Regions from separate parts of the Mus musculus genome. Here all the other regions are reported to be linked to region 2. The links are microRNA targets in miRTarBase. Many come from high-throughput screens and were not tested one by one. Region 2 holds a microRNA gene; each other region holds the end of a gene's coding sequence.
The links. The annotated mature microRNA mmu-miR-3080-3p reads UCCUCGGGCAAAGCGCUUGACA and lies in region 2 at 1,216-1,237, opposite strand. An mRNA with a match to its seed (bases 2 to 7 or 8) in the 3' UTR can be bound and repressed. Matches are read on the target gene's strand: a 7mer-m8 pairs with bases 2 to 8, a 7mer-A1 pairs with bases 2 to 7 and ends in A, and an 8mer does both.

Region 1 (4,000 bases), not on the chromosome of region 2:
AACAATCTGTTACACTCTAAGACCTACTCCAGTAACCACGCCTAAATCATTTGAAAACTCAATGATGTTACCTGATCATGGAAAATAGGGATAAATCTAAGTCCCCAAGGGTCTCCTGCCTGGAGTACACAGGTTCCTTCATGCCTTTCAAGGGTGGCAGCTGCTCCCTCCAGTCTACTTTAATCAATGATATTCATTTAAGCCTCCTATTCTCTGCCTTACAGTAACATATACAACAATGATCTAAATGAACACCATAGAAAGACTACTGGACTCTGGATTTTCAGAGCCAATTCTCAGAAAAAGACAAGAAGGAAAGTAGAGAGCCCCATGACAGCACTTGACACACTCAAGTGTGGTCTCTGGTGATCATCTGACTGCTTGGATGAAGACATGGTGTGGTGTCTGTGGAGCAGCATCATGGCACGTCAGCAGGCTACAGGGACAGTGAGAGCAGCAGCAAAGCACACAGTCCTACGCTCACAGAGAACCAGCCTAAAGGTAGATGTCTTCAGCCACATCTGCGAGGGAAAGACCCGAGGCTTTGGGACAGCAAAGCTCTGCACTTCTCTTCTATCAGACAATCTATCACAGCTAGTGTGCTGAAGTAAAATAGCCAAAGAAATAGGAAAAAAAAAAATAAAACAAAACAAAACAAACCAATAAACACACACCCAACAGAAAGCAAGACATTATCAGAAAATTCAGCTGTCATTTTGGCAGCTGTGTTTCAGGAATTTGTGACTGTCTTTGAATCAGCTGGGAAGAACGTCAATGACTGTATGCAAATGAATAAAATGTCCATATCAAAATACAAAAGCACTATCAACAATCACCTCTGACTTTCAGGTTCAGATTCAGTGCAATTGACAAATGCATCGCTGAAGGAAATGCAGCTTAGGCATACTCAAAAAGTTTGTGTCTATTCTTGGGAGCACGTTTAAAAATTATTGCACAGTTTTTTTATTTTTATTATTATTTTTTTAAACAACAACAGAGGCCAACAGATGTGACCCTCTTGCAGTAAAAGCAAAATCTCAAGTGGCAGACACTCAGCATTTTAGAATTCCTACAGAGCCACAGAGCAATGGGTTCTAAATGTCTCAATGTGATAGAACCCTGAAAACACCTGGCACAAACCATAGACGACTGCCTCTCTGGATGCAACTCTTAATATTACAGTATCATAGACCCCACTAACAAAATGGGGTAGATATAACGATGTATGGTAAAATGTAAGTGTATCCATCCTCTTTACCAAAAGCAAATGCCACCCTACCTTAATGAAGCCAAGACTGGCGTCAATCAACGCTGCTTTGTAAAGAACAAGGCAGCAAAAACAGAGCAGCAAAGCTGCGGGGCTGGGTTAGAGCAGTTTCGTAGAACACAGGGTGGGATTCAGGAGCCAAAGGCCTCAAAATAACTACTGACACACATAGTGTTATAAATTTGCTAAGCAATTTCTTAATTAAAAATTTAAAGATATAAATTTGACAACTGTTCTTTCTCTTCAGAACCTACACTCCTGGGTTCTTCCATTAATATCGACTATCCTGTCAACCACCTTCACAAACACAGCCTCTGGTGAACCTTTGTAGGTATATTTTACTTTTAGCTGAACATAAAGAGTCTGATTGAAGCCGGCCGTGGTGGCGCACACCTTTAATCCCAGCCCTCGGGAGGCAGAGGCAGGCGGATTTCTGAGTTCGAGGACAGCCTGGTCTACAAAGTGAGTTCCAGGATAGCCAGAACTATACAGAGAAACCCTGTCTCAAAAAAAAACCAAAAAAAAAGAATCTGATTGGATACCTATATCTTTAAAAAAAAAATACTTGATATAAACAAGAGTAAAAAACATGATATAGTAGTGATTATAGTGGAAACAAAACAGCAGCTTAGATCTACAATGCTTAAGTGCAGCTTTGGCGCCGTATATGCAGGCAGAGGGATAGCTCCAGCCACACCTCTCCTAATTTCCCCATCACTGCTACCCAAACATAGCTCAAAGCAAGCCTTTAAAAACTGTTTTCAAAACTAAGGTAGCAAACATTTAGCCATGTAATGGCAGTGTTATATGCTGCTGTAACCTTGCTTTGTAAAAAGAAAACTAACATGAGAGATTTTTTAATACTGGAATCTGGTTACATTACATATTTAAGCTTCTATACAGAATGATGGACACTTTGAGAAGCTAATCCTTATCCAGAAATATTTTAATCTCTTAAGAAACAAAGTAAAACAGACAAATGGTAAAATAAAAAATAAAAATAATAAAATAAAAGCCCCAAACTATGTTGCTCCTTCTCACAATAGTGCACATTTTTAACCATAATTTAGTTATGGCTACAAAACATCAGAAGATTATTATTTAGAAAAAAAAAAACCAAACTCTTCTTTATGGTATTAAAAAAAAAAAAAAGTTGTGCCCTTCTAGTCTTTAATTGGCAGAAATATGTCCCCAAAAAGAAACTATTTTAAGCGCTCTCTCTCCTCCCCACCCCTCTCTCTCTCTCTCACACACACACACACACACACAAAGAACTAAAACAAAAAACCCAGAAACCCAAAACAAAGATAACATAACACCCTTTGCTGATGTGTCTTAGAGAGTGACATGACGGAAGTCATGTAGTTTCCTATTATTCCAATTCCCTCCATAATATGCACCTATTGAGTTATATGCTCTGGGAGCCATCAGATGTACCAAACATCTACCTCTTCCAAAGAATGCAGTAAAATATTTTTAAGAATTTTTTTGTTGTTTAAAAGGTGAGAAAAAAAAGCAAGATAATGATTCACTCCCTTACTTCATGCATCCATAATCTAAACCAAAACAAACTTGGAAGCAAGAACCAACTACTGCCGCAAGCTTTTGTTAAGTCCATGTTCTCTGTACATACAAACTGCGCACTACTGAGGGGAAAAAGAATATAATCCATGTGTCTGCTGATTCAAAGGGGGAAACAAGGCTGTCATTAATATTCAAAACTGGGACATGTGTGGTTTGCTCTTATAACGCATATTCCTTCTCTTCTGGTTTTCATATCCAAACTTCTAAACGCTACTTAGGGGCACAGCAGGTTAGATCCCAGCACTTGGTGAGCAGAATTCACAAGCTGGGATGAGACTGTCATCTTCAGGGTACAGCTGTGTTCATATATACTGCATGTATATATTTCTCTTAGATTTGGCTGTAGTGGACTGGCCATGGTTCAAGTGGGACTATAGCAGTATATGGGTCAGGGATAGTCTTGTGGCTATGTACACATTCATAGTCGGTCCATGGCTTCCAACTAGTAACGCTATTTCCGAAGGTCTAAGACACAAACCTGTAAGAGATGACAACAGTCAGCCAGTATCAAGAAATCTACCTTACATTGCAAGCTTAACTTCTATAAAGAATACAATGTAATTTACAATCTAAGATGCAAATTCATAAAATCAAAGTAACAAATTATGGAAAGAAACCTTAACTGATGAAGGACATCGGGCCAATATGCTGTGATGTGATCACTACCAAGCTACAGTAACTGAGGAAATGCTGCTCAAAGTTTTAGGTTTAGGTCTTTAAAGTCAGTAAAAGGGGGATGGGGAACATACAGAGCAGACTCAGGTCTGAACACAACACAGGTGTTACGGGGTCATCTCAACAAACAGCTCTGCTTTCCTCTCTCCTGCTTTCCCTGATTTACAACGGGAGAGGCTATACTACCTCCCCCGGCCCCCCAAGTATCTACTAACAACATCCTGAAGGTCAGTATTAAATATCTCCCCACAGAAATCAGCCTCCATTCTTCATCCTCCAACACTCCACTTCAGAGGGGAGAGTTGGGGAAAGGGCTTTAAAAATACCATTTAGCAAGAGATACTTCATTACATTTAATTCCACAAATGGAAGGTTACATTGAAAATCACTCATTACTTGTTTGAGTCTTCTTTGGCAAAGTCACCCCTAAGATTTACTTATACAAATGTAATGAGCATATTTAGCACACAGCCT
Region 2 (4,150 bases):
AGCAGGGGGTCCCTATGCAAGCAGATCCGGGTGAAAACACAAGAAGGCCTGTGGTTAGACTAGCAAAGAAGGGACATATGCCCATTTCCCATTCCGTCACTGAGGCCAGAGGGGTGGGTCTCATGTTCATCTTATGGATTGGGGAGGAGGTCTTCAGGATGCTCCATACCCACACATGCCCTGGGCTGCATGATCTGCTAAGTCCATCTCCTCCCTCACAGCCGGGTCCTCGGTGCCCACTCTGCTACAGTCCCAGGAGATGCCTGGTCAGAGGAGGTCTGCTGTGCAGAGGAGGCCTGCACATGTGGAGGGTAGTAACGGGTTAACTGGCACCCCTGCCAGGCAGCAGATCTGCATTCTCACGGAGGCCTCAGGGGGACACAAAGCTGACATGGCAACGAGGGGAGTCAGAAGGGAGTTGCCCAGGGGGCTCCGGGGCACAGCACGGCCCCAGCAACCCAGCTGCGGTGGGGGCTACTCAGCCAATCCCAGAGAGCTGCGAGTGGAAGGGTTGGGGAAATAATTACCGAGGAGGCTGGGAGGGAGGCGGGGAGGCTGGCGAGAGGCTTAATGAAACTGCTAACGCGTTAGTGATTCCTGCCTGCTCGGAGAGGCGGAGGCAGACAGCCATGTTGCCAGCTCCTGCAAGGAAGCTGCCAGGCGGGACTGGCTGGGCACGCAGAGGCAGCAACAATAGGCACCTCTGCACCATCGTCTTTCAACACGTGACTCTCAAAGGGCGATCTTAACATATTACAATTGAAATGACAGTGTCCTCCAACGTGCATGTAATTGGGCTGGGGGCCATTCAGCAGACTCACTGAAGATAGGATCAGGTTAAACGCAACTAGACAGCTAAGGGCTGGTGAGAACTGGCTGTCTGGTCCCATTTTCCAGATAGGAAGCTGGGAACCCTGGAAGTCCCCATAGGGAGCCTGGAAGGTTCCAGAAATTGCCCAGCCCTCTAAGTCCTTCCCACCACTCCCATGTATTTGTAGTCTCAGAAAGCTCTGTAGGGACAGGTAGACAACACAGTCCCATGAAAGATGCCCCCAAAGAGTCAGGAGGGACGTCACAAAGCAAAGCCGCTGGGGTTGCAAAGAGAACTCAGGGTTCTCTTCCCACAAGATGGGCATTTAACAGCCAATGTGATCTACACTATAGTTTTCAGTCTGTGACATCTCGGGTCTCCAGACGAGAAAGGAGGCACAGAGATGTCAAGCGCTTTGCCCGAGGATGACTACAGGGCCACGATCCAAGAACAGGCGCTTCAGATCTCAAACCGTGGACTTTTGTTCAAACATTCCACAGGGTGCAGAGGGTGCTAAGTATTCCCCCAGCTGGCAGCTAGAAAGATGGAAAGGTTCAGACAAGCCACTCCCCACTTCTCCAGAGTGCTGTAAATAGCACAGGTTGCCAGGAGGCACACAAGAGCCATTGGGGAAGCAGCCTGGAGTCATCGATGACCACAAAAACCAGTGCCTTCTCTGCTGCGTTCTGCACCCCCCCCCCGCACGAGTTAGCATGCGACTCCCCTACTCCAGGACCAGGAAACAGGGACACAGAGGCTTGGAGGAACGAAGCTACATGCCTTGGAAAGTGACCCTTGGAAGCTGAACACAGAGGTGCACACTTGTAATCCCATGGAGGCAGGAGGATCAGAAAGGGGTTCGAGTCCACCTTCTACTATGTAGTACCAAGGTAGCCCGGGCTCTGTGAGACTGTGTCTCTATGGGCCCCTCACTGGTGGGAGCCCGCCCATCCTACAAGAAGGAGTCCCTCTGGTGTTCACCTACACCCTTACAAACCAAGGAGGTACAGACCTAAGGCCGGTGACCCCAGTTTAGGGCTAAGAGACACTGGGCAAGGGGTGGGTTCTCCAAGAAACTCAAGGAACTGTGAACTCAGAGGACTATCCATCCCTTGGATGGGCAGTCAGGTCTAGGAGCCAGGTGGGCCAGGAACTCAGTGACTAGGTAGTCTCCCTGTATCAAATCTGGTCTAAATAAGGTCTATGTGAGAAAGCAATGCCATTTCTCCTTCAATAGTGCCTTTAGAACCTTCCAGGCAGCCTTCTGCCTGGGGAGACTCTCTGCAGGGTACCAGCTGTTCTTGAGGCCTGATTATTTGTTCCTGGGTCTGTTTCTCTAGAGGAGTGTCAAAGGGTAAGGCTACCATTATGCGGATAAGTCCCTGGGACAGTAGATTCTTCTGAACAAGTGAGAAAGTGCGAGAGAGATTTGGGGGGGGGGATGACACAGAGAGAGACAGGCTCACATATGAGAGAGAGACAGAGACAGAGAGACAGAGAGAGACAGAGACAGACAGAAACACAGACAGAGACAGAGACAACAGAGACAGAGATACACAGAGAGACAAAGAGAGACTAATGCACACTCACACACATGAGAGAGAGATAGAGAGACATTGAGCAGAGAGGGGGGGAAGCAAGGGAGGAGAAGGGAGGGAGAGGGAGGGAAGGAGGGAGGGAGAGAGAATATAATAGACAATCCAATGTTTCCACCTGCTGCTGCCGCCAGGCCCCCAGGGGCGACTGTTCAGGGATCAGATTCAGCTCCTGACCACGAAAAGACCTCTTACTAACACTGGTCCTCAGCAATTGTCAAACCAGGAAACTGAGGCTTACCTGGCCCTGGACCTCACAGGACTCAAACCCACACACAGCCTGGCCCTCCCGCTCGATTCTATCCACGTTGTTTTTGTAAGGCACGCCTCCACACGGGGCTCTCTCATTGATGCCCATCCCCCACCACACCCCAGGGGGACAACCAGACAAGGACCCTCCAGTGAAGAGCATAAAGCCCAGACCAAGGTCAGAGTCTCCAGGACATACAAGGTCTCAAACTCAGATAGCTCCTCCAATCCCTCATCATCTCTGCCACACGCCAAAGCCGCCTCCTTCCCCATCATCAACGCAATAAAGAAGGAAAGGGGGGAGGGGAGAGGAAAGTGGAGGGGAGAGGAAAGGAGGGGAGCCCCCCACAGCCCGCAGCGGGCTCCTTTCTGGTCAGGGGAAAAGCCTCTAATGAAGGCCCTTCGATGCCGCTGAGCTGGCGGTGTCAGCCTGGGAGCCCCGCAGAGCTGCGGGCCGCGCATCTCTGCCCCCAATTAGCACTCAGGTCCTCCATCAAAGCGTGTGCCTGCTGCCAGAGGCAGAGGCCACGGGGACGGCCCCTCCAGCAGTGGGAGGAGGCCAAGGCTCTCCGGCAGGCCCTGGCCTCTGCCCCTTGCCTTTTGGTGGCGGGGGTGGGGGGTAGGGGGGCCTAGCCACCACCTCTCACCCTCTCCAATCAGCCAGCTCAGGGCAGACGCCGTCACCCCGGGGGACGCGCTAATGAAGATGGCCGACATTAATCTCTTCCCTCTCCCGACAGGTCAATTTATAGTTCCATGGGGAGCCCTGGCGCCCAGCCAGAGGGCCTGACATAACTCTCCCTGCTCCTGAGGAGGACATGGGGGGTGGGCTTTGATAGGCAGAGGGAGCCGGTGGTCCCTGGAACCTGTCTTCAGTCTAAGTATCCACCATTACTACCCCCAGCAAATACAGGTGGCAGAGAACCAGGAGGGCACCTGACCTGGAGGGCTGGGGGTGACTGGCTGCCAAATCGATTCTGGGTCCTCAATTGGGCACCCTCCTCAGCAGGAGCCCTGCCCCCTAAAAGAGACAGGCTTTCTGCAAGTCAATGATCATCTACAAGTGTGGGATCCTCTCTGCTCTTGCTCAAGTGCGTTCCTCAAAGACCATGAAGCAGGCACAGGAGTCTAGCTCTGACTAGACCCTGGAGACCCATCAACCTAGTCTCCTGGAGCTCCCAGGCTCCTTGGGGGTTTGGGGGGGGGGACACAGACCTGGAAGCCTCCTACCACTCTAAATGCCCTAAAAGGAAGGAGTTTCCAAGAGCTGGGGGTACCTTTGAGAGGGTGCACACAGTCTACCTGCCTAATAGATGAGGGATGGGGTGGGGGTGGGGCGGGGCAAGACACAGTTGGGTGCTGAGGCTTAAGGGGTGGTATTCAAGGGAGCAGGCTATCTTAGGCAGGGAAGACCCCAGAGCAGAGGATAAATGGCTCACAGGGCGTTATGCTGGTTGTGTGCAGAAGAAGCTGAGAAGCCCGGCCTCAGGGGACT
Region 3 (4,000 bases), not on the chromosome of region 2:
CTCAGAAGATGCCTTGTGGACAGTTTGGGGACCTGAGAGAAATGAGTGAGCCCCGAAGAAGGAAGAGAAACTCCACATTCCTAGCTGGAGACAAAACCAAGAATAGGATCGAGCTTTCTAACATGTGGGGCCAGACTGTCCTACAAGATGAAGGCCATGACACCAGCACTTGATAGCATCCTTGAAGAAGCCTGAGCATGTGACACAGGGACATTGGGGAAGGAAGCTTTGTGCTTCCAGTCAGTAGCCCTGAGTGTCTGGTTTCTTAGGGGGTGGGTATCAGTACCAAGCTGGCCAGGTTCTCAGGCCATCGAGGCCCCTGCTCGCACACGACTCCAGAGCCCACACTACGGGCTCTTTGCCCTAACCCTCAGGTGTCTTCATCCCGAGCTGTGATGAAGATGGCTACTACCGGAAGATGCAGTGTGACCAGAGCAGAGGTGACTGCTGGTGTGTGGACCAGCTGGGCCTGGAGCTGACCGGCACACGCATGCATGGGACCCCTGACTGTGGTAAGGAGCATGCGGCTAGTTCTCAGGGTGGCGTACGTGGGGCAGGACTCCAGGCTCAGAAAGTAGACACAGTGTGTGGGTTCCTTACCGGCCTTTCGTGTGCTTTCCCAACAGATGACATCGTGGGTTTCTCCGGGGACTTTGGAAGCGGCGTTGGCTGGGAGGATGAGGAAGAAAAGGAGACAGAAGAGGCAGGGGAGGAGGCCGAGGAGGAGGAGGGTGAGGCGGGTGAGGCAGATGATGGAGGCTACATCTGGTAGATAGCCCTCGACGGCCTCGGCAGGCCAGGGTGCCGACGGCCAGAAAGACAGGCCAGAAGAGACCTGGACAACAGCAGGCAACTTAGCAAATGGATCCGGAAGTCAGTGCGGAGGACCCTGGCTCCAGTGGGGGAGGACTGGGGAGTGTGGCTTGTGTGTATGTGTGATATGAGATGTGTGTGTATGATGTGAGATGTGAGTGTGTGATGTGAGATGTGTGTATGTGAGATGTGTGTGTGTGTGTGTGTGTGTGTGATGTGAGTCACCCAAAGGTCCCTATGTTATTGATTTTCAAATGCACACTTTCACACACAAGGATACACTAACAGACCAAAATCAATGAGATGTCCCTGATCCTGCCCCTCAGCCCAACACCTGGAATCCCTGCCCTGCCTAATCAGCCCTACCCCATCCTGCCTTTCTTCCTTCCTCTTCTGAGGCCAGGGAGAGGGAGGGAGGGCAGGCAGCTGAAAGCTGAGCGTCCTCCCCAAATTGGGCTGATTTGATATGAAAGCCCCACCACGGTCTTGTGGTGATGAGGCAGGACCTGTACACACAGCAAGGCTTACTATCCGTCTCCTGACATCCGAAGAGCTCGTCGCAGGTGTGTCTAATGGCCCTTGGGCTGCACGTGGTTAAGCATAGCTGTCTCTGTGGCCCAACACAAAGAGGTAAACTTACTTAAAACACAGGGGTTTTGTTGCTGTTTGTTTTTTGTTAGTTTGTTTGTTGATAATTGGATTGAGGAGTTAATCCTCTGTCACAATGTCAAAAGCATGGACATCCCTGATAGATTATCTCTCAACCTAGTCCCGAGTAACCAGAGATAGCTCAGCAGAAGAGGCAGAAATCATGAGACAGAGGACAATGGGTCCCTTGATTTCAGGCCTCAGATTAACCCAGTCAGCACCTGTGGCCTCATGGGGCTCTGGGCTGCTTTCTTGGCGAATGGGGACTGTCATCATATAGCTGAGATTTGGAGTAGCCTGCTATGAGGGCTTGCAGTTGCACTCTCTGTTCCCTGGCGAGGGTCCCCCTTGTCCCAAGGAGCAGAGGACCAGCAAGCAGCCCGTGTCTGCTCACCTTCTCCCTGACCCTCTAGGAAATGGTTCCCTCTTGCCCCGACCAATAGAAGGGCGTGTCCCCGAGACCCTTGTGAGGAACCACGGGGAGCTGTGACTTCCTGTGCCCAGAAGGTCCTGGAGGAGAGGCCCCAAAGCCTTAGTCCTCTCAGCCATGACTTTCCTCTGTCTCAAGGGTCCCCAAGATGGCCCTAGAAGAACCATGCCCCAGACTCTATTTAAAGCCCTATAGCATATATGAATAGAGAACGGTGTATCTATCAGAGGGGACCACACTGAGCAGCTAGGCCCTGATGCCATGCCTCAGCACGCCCTCAGACCTCCAGGCCGGGTGGAAGGGGCTTTTACCCAGATGTCCTGTGGGGTTTTGTGTGTCTATTGCTCCCCACTTCCCCCTCTCAAAGGAAATTTCCTTGATATATTTGATGAAGAATTCCTTACCTGGGCCTCTGATACCCTTTGGTACGCGTACGTGTGTGTGGCGCGTATACGTGTGTGTGTGTGTGTGTGTGTGTGTGTGTGTGTGTGTGTGTGAGAGAGAGAGAGAGAGAGAGAGAGAGAGAGAGAGAGAAAGAGAGAGAGAATGAGAGAGAATGAGAGAGAGAATACCCGAGGGCCACCCTGATGCCCAGGAAGAGTGAGGGCAGCCCCCTGTGTGGTGGAAGAGGCTGGGCAGCTAGCTACTGGGGACCTTGTGCTGAGGCTTCCAGGACAAAGCCCCAGTCTGGCTCTCCCCCAGCCTCTCAGGGGCACTGGCTGGTCACATCCACTGAGTATTGATCGGTTGGACTTTAGGGAAGAGCCTCCTCCTTCCCATTCCTTTCTGCCACCCTGGAATGGCCACCTTAATCGTCATCTCCTCGGGGGGAATACGGAAATGTCACCAAGCTCCATAAAGTGCTTCTCATTCCACGACACAGTTCTGACTCTCCGGGTGACTGTCACCTGCTCCCATCCTCTTCTTCCTCCCTCCCTTCCTCAGACCTCTGCAACCATCCTCTGGTCCCTGGCTCAGTCACATCAGCCCTCTGCATTCTAGAAGCAGCCATCCCGCCCCCCTCTCTCCTCCCCCTCCTCCCCTTCCTCCTCCCTCCAGCTGGAGTTACTTGAAACTTCCTGCTCTCGCTAGGATGGAGTCTGATTCTTTCTCTGCCCCAGCTGGATTTCCAGAACATCCCCGGGTAGCTGTGAAGGATTTTAGGCTCTCTGGGGTGGGGAGGGGGTGGTGTAGAGGAAGACGCATCCCCTTCTTTCACCCTGCCCCGCCCTGCCCCGCTGGGGAGCTATGCTCTGTGTGTCCCTGGATCTTCTGGTTTTGTATCTGATGTAGTAAACATGTTTTAGTAAGAAAGCAGAAGGCGTGGAACTGTGGCAGGCCCCAGGGGTCCAGAAGTTTGTCCCTCTCTAAAACGCTCCCCACCCCATACTGCTTTTCACCCCACTGAGACCGAGTCCCACAAAGGTAGGCAGAACAGCTGTTCCTGGTGGGGCTGAAGGTTCCCAAGTAGCTTCTAGTTAAGCAAGCTTCGTGTTTCCTCAGGAGCAAGGTCACACAGGTCAGATTATTGTCGGTCCTGCGGGCCTCATCCTTGAATAAGCTGCCTGCCCAGTTCCTCCATCCGTGTTCCTGCCTGCTCCCGTTCCCTTGTTGCGGGCAGGAGAGGTAGGGCTGTGTTGGAAAGAGTTCAACCAAATTACGGCAGCACCACATCTTGCCGAGCCCTGGAGCTGCCCTACTAAGAGCCTCCTTAGCCCTGGGTGCTGGGAAGGATGGTGTACGTTGGGGAAGTTTGAGGTTGGAGAGAGTAAATGTGCCTTGAGAGACCACTCAGAGGTCCCAGGAGGAACGGGGGCGGGGCTTAGCCTGGGAGTTCTGGCAGGAGGCAAAGTTGGTGAGAGTCCTGGGACATCTTACCCCCAGTGTTCCACAGGAGTCGTGACCACGTGTGATGGGTGGGCACAGGTCTGCCTTGCTCCAGCCCCCTCCCTTGGTTTCTGTTGGTACCCATTTGGCTTTTATCTGCTTTCTGCTTCACCACTAAGTGCGTAGGTGGGGTCTTTTGATATCGGCTCCCCAAAGCCCAAGCCCACAGCCCTAGGAGAGAACCAGGGGCCCATCTTTGACACCTGGGCCATCACGAGCCCT

Region 1: the mRNA of Tbl1xr1 is a reported target of mmu-miR-3080-3p. Seed matches in the 3' UTR shown: 7mer-m8 at 1,674-1,680.
Region 3: miRTarBase lists Spock2 as a target of mmu-miR-3080-3p. Seed matches in the 3' UTR shown: 7mer-m8 at 2,463-2,469.

What each region holds. Positions count from the first base shown.
Region 1 is chr3:22,209,730-22,213,729 of GRCm38, reverse strand. It overlaps Tbl1xr1 (transducin (beta)-like 1X-linked receptor 1), which reads right to left. Exons shown (of 16, transcript NM_030732.3): 16 at 1-3,329. The coding sequence ends at 3,303. Among named protein-coding and RNA genes, the nearest start is that of Tbl1xr1, 140 kb to the right of the region's middle.
Region 2 is chr15:82,958,013-82,962,162 of GRCm38, forward strand. Mir3080 (microRNA 3080) reads right to left here and starts at 1,284; the gene lies at 1,206-1,284. It also overlaps a transcript of Tcf20 not described here.
Region 3 is chr10:60,130,710-60,134,709 of GRCm38, forward strand. Spock2 (sparc/osteonectin, cwcv and kazal-like domains proteoglycan 2) reads left to right here. Exons shown (of 11, transcript NM_052994.2): 10 at 375-512; 11 at 627-3,205. The coding sequence ends at 772. Among named protein-coding and RNA genes, the nearest start is that of Mir6906, 5.9 kb to the left of the region's middle.